Arabidopsis thaliana: one gene and its partner. The protein of the gene in region 1 purifies or fractionates together with the protein of each later gene. This does not show direct contact. Each region holds a gene or a part of one and is shown in the gene's direction. Other genes may lie near its edges.

What was found. The genes of interacting proteins can lie anywhere in the genome.
Region 2: the proteins of AT4G22350 (region 1) and ABH1 fractionate together in Arabidopsis thaliana (co-fractionation; one large-scale study listed by BioGRID). This does not show direct contact.

What each region holds. Positions count from the first base shown.
Region 1 is NC_003075.7:11,802,356-11,810,362, reverse strand, and holds AT4G22350 (Ubiquitin C-terminal hydrolases superfamily protein), read left to right. Parts: upstream 1-2,945; 5' UTR 2,946-3,423; coding exon 3,424-3,777; intron 3,778-3,914; coding exon 3,915-4,159; intron 4,160-4,436; coding exon 4,437-4,521; intron 4,522-4,594; coding exon 4,595-4,780; intron 4,781-4,873; coding exon 4,874-5,041; intron 5,042-5,135; coding exon 5,136-5,273; coding exon of another isoform or gene 5,274-5,297; exon of another isoform or gene 5,298-5,642; coding exon 5,643-5,814; intron 5,815-5,907; coding exon 5,908-6,082; exon of another isoform or gene 6,083-6,193; coding exon 6,194-6,290; 3' UTR 6,291-6,532; downstream 6,533-8,007. Other genes in the region: AT4G22370 (uncharacterized protein), read left to right, coding at 42-194; AT4G22360 (SWIB complex BAF60b domain-containing protein), read right to left, coding at 703-825, 1,036-1,238, 1,327-1,498, 1,588-1,699, 2,005-2,552; CDS2 (cytidinediphosphate diacylglycerol synthase 2), read left to right, coding at 7,742-7,888.
Region 2 is NC_003071.7:5,633,755-5,643,675, forward strand, and holds ABH1 (ARM repeat superfamily protein), read left to right. Parts: upstream 1-3,129; 5' UTR 3,130-3,298; coding exon 3,299-3,382; intron 3,383-3,466; coding exon 3,467-3,526; intron 3,527-3,625; coding exon 3,626-3,682; intron 3,683-4,167; coding exon 4,168-4,239; intron 4,240-4,347; coding exon 4,348-4,410; intron 4,411-4,583; coding exon 4,584-4,760; intron 4,761-4,944; coding exon 4,945-5,073; intron 5,074-5,296; coding exon 5,297-5,363; intron 5,364-5,542; coding exon 5,543-5,742; intron 5,743-5,957; coding exon 5,958-6,028; intron 6,029-6,490; coding exon 6,491-6,575; intron 6,576-6,721; coding exon 6,722-6,790; intron 6,791-6,881; coding exon 6,882-7,000; intron 7,001-7,307; coding exon 7,308-7,446; intron 7,447-7,647; coding exon 7,648-8,148; intron 8,149-8,238; coding exon 8,239-8,538; intron 8,539-8,622; coding exon 8,623-8,868; intron 8,869-8,951; coding exon 8,952-9,059; 3' UTR 9,060-9,312; downstream 9,313-9,921. Other genes in the region: AT2G13542 (defensin-like protein), read right to left, coding at 9,415-9,584, 9,801-9,861. UniProt on the Arabidopsis thaliana protein: Component of the cap-binding complex (CBC), which binds cotranscriptionally to the 5'-cap of pre-mRNAs and is involved in various processes such as pre-mRNA splicing and RNA-mediated gene silencing (RNAi) by microRNAs (miRNAs).

The sequences.
Region 1 (8,007 bases):
TTACTTACCTATTGTGGTTTCTCATTTGTCTTCTGATGCAGAGAACTATGGCGTTTGCAGTGAGTATTGCTGAGAAGATAGTCACTTTCTTGAGACAAGCAGAAAACACAAGGAGACAAGCAATGGCACTCCTGCTACTTGTTCTTCTGCTGCTTGCTGCAGCCGCTTTCTACGTCACACGTCTGAGATTCTGATAAAAACACAGCAAATAACATGGAAGATAGCAGGAAAAAAAACCATAGCATAGGGAATAAGATTTTTCTATCAGTAGGATGCAAATATTTCCAACAGGGAAAACATAGTTAAACACATGAGTTTTTTTTTCCTAAGACATTCATGGGTGAATGGCGTTTAATACAAAACATCTGCGCCGTTTCACCCTTAACACTAGAGTTTCGGTACAATACTAAATACAACATCAACCTAAGCATGTCGATACACAACCAACTAAAACAAAGAACCCAACGGAAGATTAAAATAGCATTAAAGGAAGTTAAAAGTGAAAAGGATCTTTTCTTCCCTATCAGAGTTCTACAGCAAGGAGTCATAAGTAGGTTCCCTAGATACACACCTGCAAGAGAGTTGTGATACAGAAGTCAATTACCATATTTGGACAATGCTGATATATAAGTATCATAATCTGTTAAATCAAACTTCACTTACACTAGTAGTTCCTAGTTAATTAAGTCAGACCAGAAGATATCACGACTGCTTGTACATATGGCGCCTCAGCATCTCATTTATCCCCACAGCTGAAATGCTTTCACATCCAAGAAGATCTCGGAGCTTTTCATCACACTGAATAGCCATTGGATTTACTGGGTCCTGAAAGAAAATTGAAAAGCAGAATAAACAAATCTTAATTTTCTTGTTTATGGCCATTCACTATGCTCTATAACATAAAGTTATGTGAAATCCTATACTGTAAATTATCTTATAGAGTAAACCACAATACCAGCTTTAGTTAGCAGCAAACAGGAAAAAAATTCGAAGCAATAAGGAGAAACCAGAGGATTTCAAGATTAAAATCATTACCTCTAAATTGTTGAGTTTTATGTATTCCCAAACACGGCGAATAATCTCTTCGTCTGCCATCTCCGTCTCACCAGTGCCAAAGAACTTACCAAGTGGCTCAGATAATGTAACAGTTGAACTAATAGCAGTTGAACTAATAGGCTCGGTGGTCTCAGTCTTAGTCTCCACCTCAGTTTTTGCCTTTTTTGCTTGACCAGAGTCCTCTGCCAAAAGTGACTCAAACAGTCAGTAACCTTGAACAAACCAAGCACAGTTGGAACTCAGCAAAAAACGCTTGTGTTTAACCATTACTTGATGGATCAAGCGGGAGAATATGCTTAGCAAGCAACTTATTCATCTTGAACATGTCAGTGCAATCAGTCTCAAAAACCACACGCAACGCATCATCACAGATGATCTTCCGCTTGTTACTCGGGTCTTGAAGGTTATTCTTCCTTATATAAGCCCACAATTGCCTCACAATCTAAAACCAAAAGCCAAACACAGCAACACATAAATAACAACCACAATTGCTTATACACATTATAATCATAAATGAAAGACAATGATAACCTCAGTTCTAGGAAGAGCAGGTTCACCAACAACTACTTCAAGTTCTGGAGAAACCCTACAGACTTTGTTTAGTCCTCCAGGACCACCCTTTCTTTTAGTTCCAGCCGGAGCACTGCAAAGGAAAAGTTGACAAATTTCGTTGATGTGCCAAATTTAGGTAGATCAGAAAGAAATAATCACACTATAATAGAACGTTGTATGAATCAATGTGCTAAAAATATCACAGGATGATAATTCTAAACATGAGCATGTAAAACCTAAAAACCCGTAAATGAACAAAATTGACAAAAGATTTAGACATTCCTAAAATGGAAAATCATGTTTTCCATGAAAGTAGCAAAAGCCCTAAATTACTGAAATTGGAACAACCTTGAGCAAAATTACGTACCAACATTTGAAATATGTTGCAAACCCTACCTTTCTTTTGGGGCTTGATTAACAGATAGAGAAGCATTCCCGCCATGTGAGAGCATCACAGAGGATTGTTGTTGTCGCGGAGACTGCTGCTGATGCTGGTGCTGTTGCGGCGGCATGTAAACCGGATAAGGCTGCCGGAAATTTAGGTCATAAGAGTGATAAGGAGGCTGAAGAGCGAAATGTGAAGGATATTGTTGTGATTGAGAAGAAACAGAGAATTGCGAAGGATGGCTAAGTGTGAAATGCCCTTTCGCCATCGGAGGAACATTGACGCCGGAATGCAAATTCTGCTGCTGGTGAGAAGACGGCGGAGGAGGAGGGTGAGATTGTTGTACGGATGAAGCGGAGGCGACGGAGGCAGAAGGGTTTTGGTGAGCACGGAGGAGGATATTGATCTGATCTCTGATGAAAGTCGTCTTCTCCGTGAGGTCTAACCCTAACTTAGCTTCAAGCTGCTGAACAATACTGCTTAACGATGTGAGAGAGCTAGGGTCGGATTGTCGAAGCAAAGTCTCGACTCCTTTCGCTAGATCCTGGTCCGACACCATTGTCGAGAGAGAATTTCAAAGCTTTTTTTTTCATACACACAAAAAAAAAAACTTTTTAAGGAGAAAAAAAAAAACAAATACCCCACAAAAGAAAAAGAAAAAAAGACAACAAATTCTCTATATCTTTCTCTCTCTTATCCTCTTCTCTAATCTTGTCTCTTTCTCTCTCTCCTTCTTCGTCTCTGTCTCTTTATAACTATTTGGAAAGACGAATATGCCCTTCAGGGTTGGTTAGATTTATCAAATGATGACAAATGTCGGTGTTGCCCTTATGAGTCATGGTATCTATGGCTTGTAGGTAGAGGGTGTTGTCGTATTTTGGCTAATCTATTTGCTTTTTTACTTCTTCGCCAGCTGGCTTTAACTTCAGAACTCATCTCTTTACTCGTGGAATGTCGAATACGTCCTTGTAGATTTTCACGCGTTTATAGTTTGCTTCGAGAAGCTTGAGGGTATTAATGGTTATTCGATAAGTATCGGATCGTGAATACAGATCAATTACTGAATACTGCTGACAGAAGTAATATAAATGGAACAGATTGTTATTGGGCTATAACAGTGTGGCCCAATAATAAATATTCGGCCTTTTAACCGAGTTAATCAATCTGGGTGAGACTTGAGTCGGCTCTTGAAGCTTTAATAGGTTGTTTGTTTAACGTCTGCGTTGTGGCGGATTTTGAAGTTTCTCGAGAAAATTGGGAACGAGAGATAAGTTCGAGTAGATTCGCGACTGTCGACGCTTCTGATTTGAAGTATTTGGCGTTTTTTGGAAGAGTTCATTGCTTCTTTGGTTGAGGATTCTTCGTGAATCGCTGGGATTTTGTGTTCTAAGGTTTTTGAAGCAAGCTTTAGCTTAGGGAAAATTTTGAGAATGAAAGGTGAAAGAGAAGTGAAGAATGGTGTTTCTGAGGAAGAGAGAGAGGTGAAGAGGAAGAGAGTGATGGAACGGTCTGATTCGCCACCTCCACCACTAGGTTTCAACAATCCTCTTTTGCCGTTTGCTAATGCTTACGATGATGATAATAACCAGCAGAATAAATCGCAAACTCGTTGTAATGTAGTTGCGAAAGGAGAGGGAAATGGTAACAAAGTGAAAGGAGAAGCTCAAGTAGAGGTCGATGACGACGAAGATGATGATGATGATGCTTCGAAGGGGAGAGGAAAGCATTCACGCCATGTTGAAGTTCGTCGTGATTGTCCTTATCTTGATACTGTTAATCGTCAGGTATATCATTGACCAATTTCTTGTGTTTGGTACTTGTAATGTATCTAATCTATGGTGGATCTTTAAGCTTCTGCTAGGTTCATTATATTGCTGGTTTGAGATTAGCGTTTAAACTCATATCTTATGGTTGATTTCAGGTGTTGGATTTTGATTTCGAGAGGTTTTGCTCTGTCTCATTGTCAAATCTGAATGTGTATGCGTGTCTTGTTTGTGGGAAGTACTTTCAAGGAAGAAGCCAGAAGTCTCATGCTTATACACATAGCTTGGAAGCAGGACACCACGTTTACATCAATCTTCTGACAGAGAAGGTTTATTGTCTTCCTGATAGTTACGAGATCAATGACCCTTCTTTGGATGACATTCGCCATGTTTTAAACCCAAGGTATATTAGATCTTGTGACTAACTACATCATAGTTCTTACTGCATTTTGGGTATTGATTTGTGAACATGTGAGCCTTTGCACGTAGTTAACAACAACAAAATTGCTTTGACTATTATCTCAATCAGTTTCTTCTTACTAGTTCTCTGTATCATCTACCATCTATTTATATTTTTTTGCATGATAGCTTGAACATATTACTCTTCTTTCATGTTTTGTCAATTTTTCTTTGATTTTTCAGTTCCTTTGTATGAAGGCTTCGGTGCTATCCATTTACAGGTTTAGTAGAGCACAAGTAAACGAGCTTGACAAGAATAGGCAGTGGTCTAGGGCTCTTGATGGCTCCGACTATCTTCCAGGAATGGTAATCCTTTCTCTTTGATTACACTTGATCTTGAAATTAATGTCTCCTAAAGGTTAAGCTTGTAAATATGTAGGTGGGGTTGAACAACATACAAAAGACAGAGTTTGTGAATGTTACAATCCAGTCGTTGATGAGAGTTACTCCTCTAAGGAATTTCTTCCTCATTCCTGAAAATTATCAGCACTGCAAGTCTCCTCTTGGTCACCGTTTTGGGGAACTAACTCGCAAGATTTGGCATGCTCGAAACTTTAAAGGACAAGTCTGACTCAATTTATGCCTCTCACTTTTTTAGTTTTTGTTATGCACTCACCTATTGAGGACCTCGCTAATTTAAGTTACCTTGCATCAACAGGTGAGTCCACATGAGTTCTTGCAAGCTGTCATGAAAGCCAGCAAGAAACGCTTTAGGATTGGCCAACAATCAGATCCAGTAGAGTTTATGTCGTGGCTCCTCAACACTTTGCACATGGATCTTAGAACTTCAAAGGACGCTAGCAGTATCATCCACAAGTGCTTCCAGGTATGTGTCCGTCCTTTGAAATGTCAACATAATGCAGTTTGATATAATTTCTTACAAAAAAGCTGTATCTCATGTAACCTGTTAACCATTACAGGGTGAGTTGGAGGTTGTGAAAGAGTATCAAGGCAATGAAAACAAAGAAATCTCCAGGATGCCGTTTCTGATGCTTGGGCTAGATTTGCCACCGCCTCCTCTTTTCAAAGATGTCATGGAGAAAAACATTATTCCGCAGGTATATGGCTATTTCAAATCTTGAAAGTCTTGCTACTTTGTGCCATTAAAAAAATGCATTTCAGAAAAATGATAACGTGGAGTGCTAGAAAACTTATGATTCTCAATATACAGCTACATAAATAATGTCACATTTGGTTGAGATACAATTAAGGGATTCTTAAATAGTGCCATTGCCAATTTAATGTCCTGGAGTAAACTTTCTTTTTCGAATCTAGTTCATGACTTGCGAAAGTGTAGAATTCTCTGACTCATTGGTTGTTTGGAGCTCCTGTAGCCTTTATGGCTTGCTACCTCGTATATGCGTCTTAGAGTGTTTAGTTTGCAAAGTGAGGTTAGTGGAATCTAATTTCTTTGATTTTTGGGTCAGGTTGCTCTATTCGATTTATTGAAGAAGTTTGATGGAGAAACGGTGACAGAGGTGGTTCGGCCTAAGCTGGCCAGAATGAGATACCGTGTAATCAAATCTCCTCGTTACTTGATGTTCCATATGGTTCGGTTCAAGAAGAATAACTTCTTCAAAGAGAAGAACCCTACATTGGGTGAGTCTGTTTGAAATTTTTGTGACGTTAATGCTGTATAAGGATCCCCTAATACCTGGTTAATTTGATACAATTTCTTTTTCTATGCCACAGTTAACTTCCCAGTGAAGGACATGGAGCTGAGGGATTACATACCATCATTGCCTAGAGCACCAGAAGGGGAGAATGTGTGTTCAAAGTATAATCTAATCGCTAACATTGTACATGATGGTAAGCCTGAGGACGGGTACTTCAGAGTCTTTGTGCAGCGCAAGTCACAAGAACTATGGTAAGCTTTCTCAATCATTAACTATTATTGTGTTTCATGTTCACAAATGCATGATCTAGATCTGTGCATAAGAAAGATATAAATTCATTTGGGGGATAATGTCCATTGCAGGTACGAGATGCAGGATCTTCATGTTGCAGAGACACTTCCCCAGATGGTAGAACTATCGGAAGCATACATGCAGATATATGAGCAGCAGGAAGAATAGAGCCCTGGAAAGAAACTGACTTCATTTGGTTTAAGAGTAAAAGTGACCAGTTTTATCTTGGAATGAGATTAGAGATTTGTTTCACAACTCTTTTGGAAAAAGATTTTTGGACCCCTTTAAAGGATAGAGAGCCTGTTGTATCATAGTGAAAAACCTTTGGTAAAAAAACACATATATGAGTTTTGGGAAGAGCTTTTGGTAAAAACTAAAAACGCATATTGAAAGAAAGCGACCTCTTCAAATTCTCAAACTTTTGAAATTTTGTAGTAAAAAACACATGTGAGTTCCCTTAATATAGAAGTGGCTGTTTTTCGAATTTATTTGTAACAATGAAAGAGGAATAGAATCTAATTCACTATCTCTACTTTTGGCGATTCTATTCTATTCCATCGTCCAAAAAAAGAATTGATTCTTTTTTTGTTTTCATTAACCAATTCTGGAAGATTATGAGCATTGAACATAACAAGGTAACAATTTGCAACTTTGTAGAAAAGAGTTCATAATATTCTCGAATTTTTAATTGTCATTTCAAGTTAATATAGAGGAGGACCTTTACCTTTAATTAAAATATTATATCCCTTTATTAATTGTGGCTTCTAGAATCAAAAGTTAAAAGATTCGAGAAATAAGGAGAATCATTTTCGTCTTCTACTTAGTTTTCTTCAACTCGATTTCTCTGCTCCATCTTCTTCCTCGTCTTCTCATTCTCTCTCGCTCTGGCACAGTAGAAACTGAGCTCACGAAAGCAGGTTTCACGTCTCTTCCTTATTTACCTCATTCCTGAATCATATGTACATAGTTTTGTTTAGATATGTGTTTCGTCTCCTCAATCCTCAGATCTCCACGAGAAACTAGTATTGGTTCCTCTTTGTTATTCTCCTTAGCTCGTGTGATTACTGACACCATTAGTGAAGATTTCCAGTATTTCCATAAGTATTTCGGCTGCTTAAATTTGGGTTTTATTCCCGATTTTACTCGTATTTGTCCCATTTTTCCTGTTTAATTGTATTTCTCTGTGAATCACTTATGTTCATTGCTTTAGATTCAATAAAATTTTGAGTGAAAAATCCTACTGAGAGCGTTTACTTATGGGGAATTTATCAAGTTCAAGTTTGAATTGTTGTATATTGAGTGTTATTAAAGAGTTTCAATGAATCAATTGGATGGTTTTTTGTTTGGGTTGCTCAACTACCTATGAGAGTACAAGCTTCAAATTGTTTAGAATGCTGGTGATTTTGTTTCCGTGTTTTAATAAAAGCATTTATTGGTGAGAGAGTTTGGAGTACATGTTATTGATATAAGTACATGTCATTGATTGATTCAGATGAGTTTTCTACTTATATTTGCAAATTGATTCTAAATTTACTCGACTTTTTTTTTGGCTTATCAATGATTTTTAGTTGCCAGAGTCTTTCTATCTTTTTTTTGTATTCTGACGTTAGACTAAGGTGATGCTAGATGTACTCAAGTTCAATTTTAAATTTTCACAGGTAGTCAGTGTTTTTGTTTCGAACTCTTCCAACATGCAGAAGGAAATTGCTGGTGATGCTCCATCAGCACCAACCACTCGTGTTCGGCATCGGAAGCGAAACAGCGATGTATGTTTGCCATTATTCAATATTTTAGCTGTCAAATTAAATCGGAATTCACATTGTTTTTGGCTTAGTTAAGTTGCTTTTGTTGTATAAGGATTTATTTGGTCCTTTTCTACTTATGT
Region 2 (9,921 bases), on another chromosome or scaffold:
CAATATTTGAGGAACAAAAGCGGATTGAGTTGAAGAGATAATACTTGGAAGATGTTTTTTCAATCTGGCAGTGAGGATCTTAGAGATGATCTTATATAAGACAGAGCACAAATTGATGGGTCTTAAATCCGACATACTTCTCGGTTTTGTGATTTTTTGAATGAGACAAATGTGAGTGTGATTCCAATCCTGTGGTATAACACCATTCTCAAAAAAAAAAAAAACTCGCTTAAGACCTGAGTTTTAACCAAATCCCAATGTTGTTGAAAGAACAAAGCAGTAAATCCATCTAGTCCTAGAGCACTTTCACAATTAATAGAAAACACTGCATTATACACTTCCAATTCTGTGACATCTTGAGTTAATTGTTGATTCATATCCAATGAAACCTTTGCTTGAAAACCATTCAAAAAATTATCCTGGCCTATTGGATAAGAAGATGAAAAAAGATGCTGAAAGAACGAAGAAGCAATTTTCCCTTTCTCACTAATCCTGGTGTGTTCTTGTCCATTTTCATCCAGAAGGAAGCTCAAAGAGTTCCCTAATCTAGAAGATTTCAAAGAAGCATGAAAAAACCAATGTTTTTATCTTCAGCAAACAGCCATTTTTGACTACTTTTCTGTCTCCAAAAGAGTTCATCATCCTCATCAGCAAGACCCAATTGATCTTTAATATATGCAATTCTAGGCCAATTTGGAAACTCATAACTTTTCAGCAAATCCAAATCTTTCCTCAATCTTTGAATCCTACTCTAAGCATTAGTATCAGCTGATTTTTTTCCATACACTAATAGCTCTTCGACATTCAATAAGACTAAAGATAGAGGAGTGAGAACCTTGAGACATTGCATTGGTCCAAGAGTTGGAAATCACTTGAATACAAGAAGGATCATCAGCTATTCTTTTGTCATAACAAAACTGTCCACGAAACAACTCGTTATCATTAATAAACTTGACTAAAACAGGACGATGGTCAGATCCAAATCTCTCAGAAACCACTGGTGAGAATTTGGAAACAAAGAAAACCAAGAGGAATTCCCAAAGCATCTATCCAATCTACACTGAATCCATTGACCATTTCTAGTCCCTCCCCAAGTAAAGCCATTGCTTGTACTACCTAGTTCATGCATATCACAAGTATTCAACATGTCTTGAAAAGATTGAAACGAAGAAGGTACTCTTCTCGGACCCCTCTCTTTCCCGTTTTCGACTTAATATCATTGAAGTCACCTATCATACACCAAGCTTGCTTCCGATGTGATCCAAGACTACACAACTTATCCCAAACCTAAGGCCTAAGATATGTCACCAGATGCCCATAAACACAAGAAACAAAGCATACTTTATTTCTAGAAGAACACTGAAGATCCAAAAGATGTTTATCATCAAAAAGAATCTCAATGTCCAAATGGCTTTTCCAAAAGATTGCTAAGCCACCACTTCTCCCTTGAGGTTCTATTGTATACATATAGTTATAACCAAGCCAATCAATAACTTTTGAAACAAACTCGTCAGGATTCATAGTCTCCATGAAGAATAAAATGTCCGAGATATGATTTTTTTTCATCTCCTTAAGGTGTCGAATTGTCCAAGGATTCCTCAAGCCTTGACAATTCCAACTAAGGACGCCTTACTGATCCAACGGTGGTTCACTTGGAACCACCGTATTCTTGTCTCTCTTGAAACTTTGAGCTTCTGTAATGTCTGAGGGTTTTCTTTTCCTTTTGAACACCTTTTCAAAATGAGGAGAGGCAGGAGACTGAATAACCTTATTCTTCAGAGACAGCTCATTAACTAGTTTTTCTTTCCTGAACTGAAAAGGAGTGAAATCCTGCATTATATGATGTTTAAACCCTGAAGTGGAGGAACTAGCCTCACCAACACATGTGGTAAATCCAGTACTAATGTCCAAATCTAGCATCTCAGCTAACAAAGTATTCTCTGGATGACTATCAATTGCAACAGTAGCTGATAGAGGATTTGCTGGCAAAGCATCTACCCTTCCTTTGGGAGCAATTGACTGAAAGGGAAACTCAGCCAGCCTCGGTAAAAACATCTTCTTCTGTTTGCCTTTCTCTTGTAATGATCTCACATCATGTTTGATGGAATCTAAGACTTTGGATGGGCATCTATTTTTATCATGAGTTAATCTTTGACACAAGAAACATCTCTTTCTAATCTGTTCATAGTCAAAAGAAATTGTGACAACTTCACCAGATGGAAGTTGTACCTCTTTATTGTTACGAAGTGGATTGGCGACATGAAACAAAACCCGAACACGAACATAGTCCTGAAACTGTGATTTTTCAGAGTCCATCACCACCTCCTTCACTTCCCCAATACAGCTCGTGATCTCTTTAATTGTGTCCTGAGTATAATAGTTCACCGAAATATTCCTCACTCGACCCCAGATTGGAAGAAAATTCAGATAATCAATTGGAGGATTCTCAATCCATCTATCCATGACTACACCCCAATTTATCTTCTGTCCAAACTCCAATTTTCATAATTTCTTCTAAATCTTCCTCAGATTTGAAGAAAAATTGGAATCGATCCTTTGAGAGAGCAACACCTCTAACCCGAGAAGAAATTCTCCAAATTCGTGGCATATCTAATATCCAATTAGACATCCTTTGATTCTCTAGATTCAAAAACCTACCCAACTAACGACAGTTGTTTCTGTTAATTGAACAAAAGCGCGGTTGATCAGAAAGAATCAGAGGCTTATTGTCTTAAATCGACATATTCTGAATGGCTTTATCCAGCTCCATGATGAGATCCTGATAGAGAGTAAACAACTTTCCCGAACTCGTCAAACCTGATTTGCAGGAAACAAACTCCAAGAGAAAAAACAGTGAAGAAATCCGAGTAATTCAGATGATAACCAACACAGAACTGAGAATCACAAAGCAAACTCTCGTAACAGAGAAAGAGTCAGAACTACCAAAAATCCGAGGAAGAAAACAACAATTTAGACCGGACCGAACACGTAAATATTTCTGGTAGAAGCTCCGTTCAGAATAGAACACCTGAGAGAAAAGTCTTTAGGCTCCAAATTAACTGGGACGACTATTGTTTTAACGGCTAGTTTCAGCTACTAAGAGAAAGAAGAGAGAGAAAAACTTTTTGTCAAACTCTTTTTGTGAACTCCTTTTCTTAGATGACAACACTTATGAGAAAAAAAAAAAAAAATTAGTTTTGACGAGACACGGACATAAAAAAAAAAACTAGGGCAGAGTGACTGATACCAAAGGAGAAACAACAAAGAGACGAACTGAAGAAAAACCTCTCGGAAGAAGATGAGCAATTGGAAAACTCTTCTCCTTCGCATCGGCGAAAAGGGACCTGAGTACGGCACTTCCTCCGACTACAAAGACCACATCGTCAGTATCTCTCTCTCGATTCATCCTCGCTCTTAAACCCTAATTTTCTCACTACTCAAAACTTTTCCGATTCTCTATATACAGGAGACTTGTTTCGGTGTCATTCGTAGAGAAATCGAGCGTTCTGGAGATCAAGTTTTGCCTGTAAGTGACTTCGAGCCTTCAATTTTAGGATCTGTTGTGATGTATCTCTGTGGATATTATTATTGTGTGTTCTCATTATTTTTGTTTTCGTCTTAACAGTTTCTACTACAATGTGCTGAACAATTGCCTCATAAGATTCCTTTGTATGGGACTTTGGTAAGTCTCTTATAAACTAGTTACCTTGGCTTTTTCATTTCTGGGTATGTGTTGGATGTTGGGCTTGCATTTAGATGTGTTATATATGTGGAGGTTTTGATTGAGTATGTTATGGTATCTGTGAACTGATTCTTATCGAAGAATAATTAGCTCGAAGCAATAACGGAAGGCATTTAACTTGAAACAAATGAACACTTCAGAAACACAAATAATAGTGGAAATGCCCTTAAGGTGGATCATTTTGTGTCTATTATATCATATATAACATGTTGTAGGAATCTATTTATTCATAGTATTCATCAATATTTGCTAACTTCTGAGTAATAAAGAATGCTTGAATATTTTCTGTGTATAATTCTTATCTGTGTAAGTAGCATTTGGATCTATTTTTGAACTGAGATACCCTGTTCCCTGTTATAAATTAGTTCGATTTAATCTGATACACATACTTCGAAGTTTGATGGATGTCTTTCCACATGTTTAAGATTGGTTTGTTGAACTTGGAGAATGAAGATTTTGTCCAGAAGCTAGTAGAAAGTGTCCACGCTAATTTCCAGGTGAATAATCTAATCTGTACATCAAAGGCCAAGGATAAATTGATAACATAAGTTTTCTCAGTTACTTTTGTTTCTAATGTGACTGTTTTTCTTGGTCAAACATGCCAGGTCGCTTTAGATTCTGGCAACTGCAACAGTATCCGTATATTGCTTCGCTTTATGACTTCCCTGGTATGGTTGCTAATCATGTTTCATGGTTGCTTCGTCTATTTAATATGTTAGTTCATGTTTCTAATACACAGAAAGCGTCTAAAAAATAAAAGTGCGAAGTATATAGAACAGTATTTGTGAAAATTTTGAGATGTTTTGTCTATTTTCTAACATGTTTTAGTTGGGTTCTTTAGTTGTGCAGTAAGGTTATTCAACCTGCTTCTTTGATTGTCGTCTTCGAAACATTGCTATCATCTGCTGCCACTACTGTGGATGAAGAGAAAGGAAATCCATCATGGCAGCCACAAGCTGACTTTTACGTTATATGCATCTTGTCCAGCCTCCCGTGGGGAGGATCAGAACTCGCTGAGGTACTGCTCTTGGACTAAATACATTCTAGAAATTATTTACATTGAAGGCTATTAGAATACTGGATATGCGTTTCCAATTTTATAATGATGTCATCCTTGTTGGATCTGCAACCAACTTTGTTAGTCTGCTTTCATATCTATTATCTTAACTTGTATGGCCGCTGAATTTCCCTTTGGTTTGCAGCAAGTTCCTGATGAGATTGAAAGAGTGTTAGTTGGGATACAAGCTTATTTGAGCATCCGAAAGAATTCTTCCACCTCTGGGTTAAACTTTTTTCACAACGGAGAATTTGAAAGCAGCCTTGCAGAGAAGGTTTGCCTTTTAGTGTTTAATTCTTGAAGTTGTTGTATTTGCTTTGTGTTAGCTGCCCCTCTGATTTTGTTTCGGTAGATGTCTTGGCAAATGTATAAATAAGATGCATGGATGTGACGTTTCATTTCTGCTTTTGTTTGAGATAGATATCTGTTGAATTTTGTATCATGGTGTGATAACTTTTGGTCTGCGTCATTCGTCTTTCTCATTTGTGTCTCGTTAGGATTTCGTGGAGGATCTATTGGATCGAATTCAGTCTCTGGCTTCCAATGGATGGAAACTTGAAAGCGGTATGCTTATTTTGTCAACTTCTCATATCTCTTTGTATTACAAGATTGCAATCTTCTACGAACCCTCTCTTTTAATATCCTTATCTACCTTGTTTGACTTACAAATTGATCAGTTCATATGACTAGAGATATTAGTTGTATATTACAATTGACAATTTCATGCATATTCAATGTGCTAGTACCTAGGCCTCATCTCTCGTTTGAAGCTCAACTCGTTGCTGGAAAGTTTCATGAGCTACGTCCCATTAAATGTATGGAACAACCGAGTCCACCTTCTGATCATTCGAGGGCATACAGTGGCAAGCAAAAGCATGATGCATTGACGAGATATCCCCAGAGAATTCGTAGGTTGAATATATTTCCAGCTAATAAAATGGAGGTAATATTCTGGTTTTTGATGTCATTGTTTATCTGAATAGGACATATTTCATGCTAATGGAAGCTTATTATACTTGCTACCTTTTCAGTCGTCAACATTTTTCTTTTTTCTAACCTATTATATTTGTAGATTGATATATGGGTTATATGGTGTCCTTTTGTATTCCTTTTCTTTGTCTACCCTTTCTTCTGATTCTGTAACTATCAAACTCGCAGGATGTACAACCAATTGATCGTTTTGTCGTGGAGGAGTATTTGCTGGATGTGCTCTTCTATTTGAATGGATGGTGTGTATTTTCCCAAAGCTTGTGTTCTTTTGACGTTTTTGTATGTTTCTTCTATATTTTTCTTGCACAGTGGTCGTCCATTCATGCTGGTTTTGGTGTAGATCTTGGTTTTTGTCCCCCAACCATAGCAAATTAGTCACGTGTTTTCTAAATTATTAACCTTAGAGTATGGTGTATTAATCTAAGTTCATGACTTACTCTTTGAATAATATGGTCACTGATTCAGCTGGGCGACTAATTGGCTACTACTAAGGGCTAGTGTTTTTGCGTTGAGTATCTAGTTGAACCTAGCATATACTTATTTAAGTCATTATTATGGTTGTAGACTTGCCTAGCATATACATGTTTTCTAATCAACATCTTAGCTTATGCTAAGTCTCTTTCTTTCTGGTTACTAAATTTTGTTTGCCTTCTTAAATTATATAGAATTTTGTTTCACTAATTAATTTATTGCAAAGCTAGTCGGAAGGAGTGTGCATCCTACATGGCTAATCTTCCTGTTACATTTCGGTACGAGTATCTTATGGCAGAGACACTATTTTCTCAGGTAACTTCTGTTGTATAAATTTTGGGATTATCTCTCTAGTGAGTATTCACGTTGTAATATAAAAGCATACGTTTCTGGCAGATTATACCAATTAATTCCAAGATCTGTGATTTTTAAATATAACAATTGTATCTACTGTTTTTCAGATACTGCTGCTACCCCAGCCACCATTCAAGACTCTTTATTATACACTCGTGATTATGGATCTTTGTAAGGTACAAAGGATTATACTGTTCATCCGATGGTTTTTAAATCCCTGCTGTTATTTCTTTTTTCAACCTGATTCCAAATATTCAATTAATTTAGGCTCTTCCGGGTGCCTTTCCTGCTGTTGTTGCTGGCGCTGTTCGTGCACTATTTGAGAAAATATCCGACTTAGACATGGAATCCAGGACGCGTCTTATCCTCTGGTTTTCTCACCACTTGTAAGTATATAATTTCATATTTCTTACCTCTTGATTTTTTGTAATCTGGAAAAGGTGCTTTATTGTCGAATGTTTGGTGAATGTTCCATATATGTTAGAAAGTTACCTAGCTTATAAAATATGGATTATTGAAACATAAAATATGGATTTTCAGTCAGCATTACTGACGATTCGTTTACATGATACAGTGGTCGTGTTTGAGTCTTACTTTCTCGATTAATTGAGAAATATGTTATTCATCACATGAAGTTGATTACGTATTTCGTTTTGCTCTCTACTCTCATGTTGATAACTCCATGCTTAACAGATCCAACTTCCAATTCATCTGGCCGTGGGAAGAGTGGGCTTTTGTGTTGGATCTTCCCAAGTGGGCCCCTAAGCGTGTATTTGTTCAGGAGATTTTGCAAAGAGAAGTACGCTTGTCTTACTGGGATAAAATTAAGCAGGTAACAGATCGTCAGATATCCTAATAGCTGCCAAACTTAAGCATCAGATATACTTTTCTCTTAGCCTAGGGTTATTTGTCTTATTCCATTTTGTGGGGGATCAATGTTTCATCTTGTTATCCACATGGATATATCATTCCAAACTTAAGCATCAGATATCCTTCCTCAGGCTATATTGTTTTTTCTATGTGTGTCTAACAGAGCATTGAGAATGCGACTGCCCTAGAAGAATTACTTCCTCCAAAAGCTGGTCCGAATTTTATGTATTCCTTGGAAGAAGGTAAAGAGAAAACAGAAGAACAGCAATTGTCAGCCGAATTGAGCAGGAAGGTCAAGGAAAAACAAACCGCACGTGACATGATAGTGTGGATTGAAGAAACGATATATCCAGTTCATGGTTTTGAAGTTACTCTTACAATAGTTGTACAGACCTTACTTGACATCGGATCAAAAAGTTTCACTCATTTGGTCACTGTCCTGGAGCGATATGGCCAAGTATTTTCAAAGCTTTGTCCTGATAACGATAAGCAGGTGATGCTATTATCTCAAGTGAGTACATACTGGAAAAACAATGTACAAATGACGGCGGTGGCAATTGATAGGATGATGGGTTATAGACTAGTATCTAATCAGGCAATTGTTAGATGGGTGTTCTCTCCAGAAAATGTTGATCAGTTTCATGTGTCTGATCAGCCATGGGAGGTCAGTTGCGTTTTAACAGAAGTATATTTATTTTCTACACTCTGCAGAGCAAGTTTGTTTATCTTCGTAAATCTGTTTCTGTCTCTGCAGATACTTGGCAATGCTCTTAACAAGACTTATAACCGTATCTCTGATTTGAGGAAAGATATATCAAACATTACGAAAAATGTTTTGGTTGCTGAGAAAGCTTCAGCCAATGCACGAGTAGAGTTGGAGGCTGCTGAGAGCAAACTTTCCCTAGTGGAAGGTGAACCCGTTCTTGGTGAGAATCCAGCGAAGATGAAGCGTTTAAAATCAACAGTGGAGAAGACAGGGGAAGCGGAGTTATCTCTTCGGGAGTCCCTAGAGGCAAAAGAGGCTCTTCTTAACAGAGCTCTCTCTGAGACCGAGGTATTATATATTAGTTTAATGCAGCACATGATCTTATTATTTCCTTTTATCTACTAAAAGCTAATTGAGTTGACTTGTGCATAGGTTTTACTGCTCTTGCTGTTCCAAAGTTTCTTAGGTGTACTGAAGGAACGGCTCCCAGATCCAACTAAAGTGAGATCAGTGCAGGATCTAAAATCTATAGGTGCTGAAGATGACAAGCCATCTGCGATGGACGTGGACAGCGAGAATGGAAACCCAAAGAAGAGTTGCGAAGTCGGTGAGAGAGAACAGTGGTGCTTATCAACACTTGGCTATCTCACGGCATTTACAAGGCAATATGCGAGCGAGGTAAAAAATAACTTAATAGTTGGGATGTTGTTGTAAGAGCTTTAGTAGATTGAATATTGACTTGTTTCACCATGTTCTTGTAGATATGGCCTCACATGGAGAAGTTGGAGTCAGAAGTGTTCTCGGGTGAAGATGTGCATCCTCTCTTTCTCCAAGCCATATCTTCTGCACTTCAATTCCCATTACATTAATCTTCCTCTTTCAATCTCAATCAAACCTGTCTCTTTTGTTTTTTGTTATGAGATTCTGATTCTGACATCAAGTTATTAGGAAATTGAAAAGAGTCAAAAAACAAGAGTTTAAACTTTTAACACCAGTCTTGTTTCTGGAGCTCGTTTCTCAGAGTGGCCTACGCAAATATCGAAAGCATTTCATTTACCAAAAAGGGAACTGCATGTTCCGATTTGAGCACAATTGAGCAACCGTACTATAAAATTGTCTGCTTATGAGTAACAATATTAATTTATTGTAAGAAATTTATTATACTAAGAAGTTGAAGACAAACATAATGCTCAAGACTCAAGTAGCCGGTTACTACAATGAGTATCAATTTTTGTTATAATAGCAACAACATTCTGGTAATTTTTCACCTTTTTTAACAAAATCACACTGTCCTCCATCATACTTCGCCTTTCTACAGTTTTTGTAACATTGATGATTTCCGTAAAATCTCAAACATGGCCCAATGCAACGATCATATTGTTGGATTTGGATCACTGCAATTTTATAACCCAAGTTATATATATATATATGTGTATGTAAGACATTCCATGAAAACATTTTTCTAATTTCTGAAAAGATAATGTTTAACCATTGCTCTTCAAATGATCAAAAAAACAGTTAACCTCTCTAAATTAATATTCGATAAATTAATAATCTCTGTAAATTGAATAATAAAAACATTCCTTGTGTTGCCAAGATGTTGTAATTACAAACCGAAATTGTCAATATCGCTACAACGAAAATAGTCACATAAGTTTTTGTGACATCCATTATATTCACTTGAGAAAAATAGCCTCTCTTTTAAAAAAAATTCAGATCTTTATGAAAAAC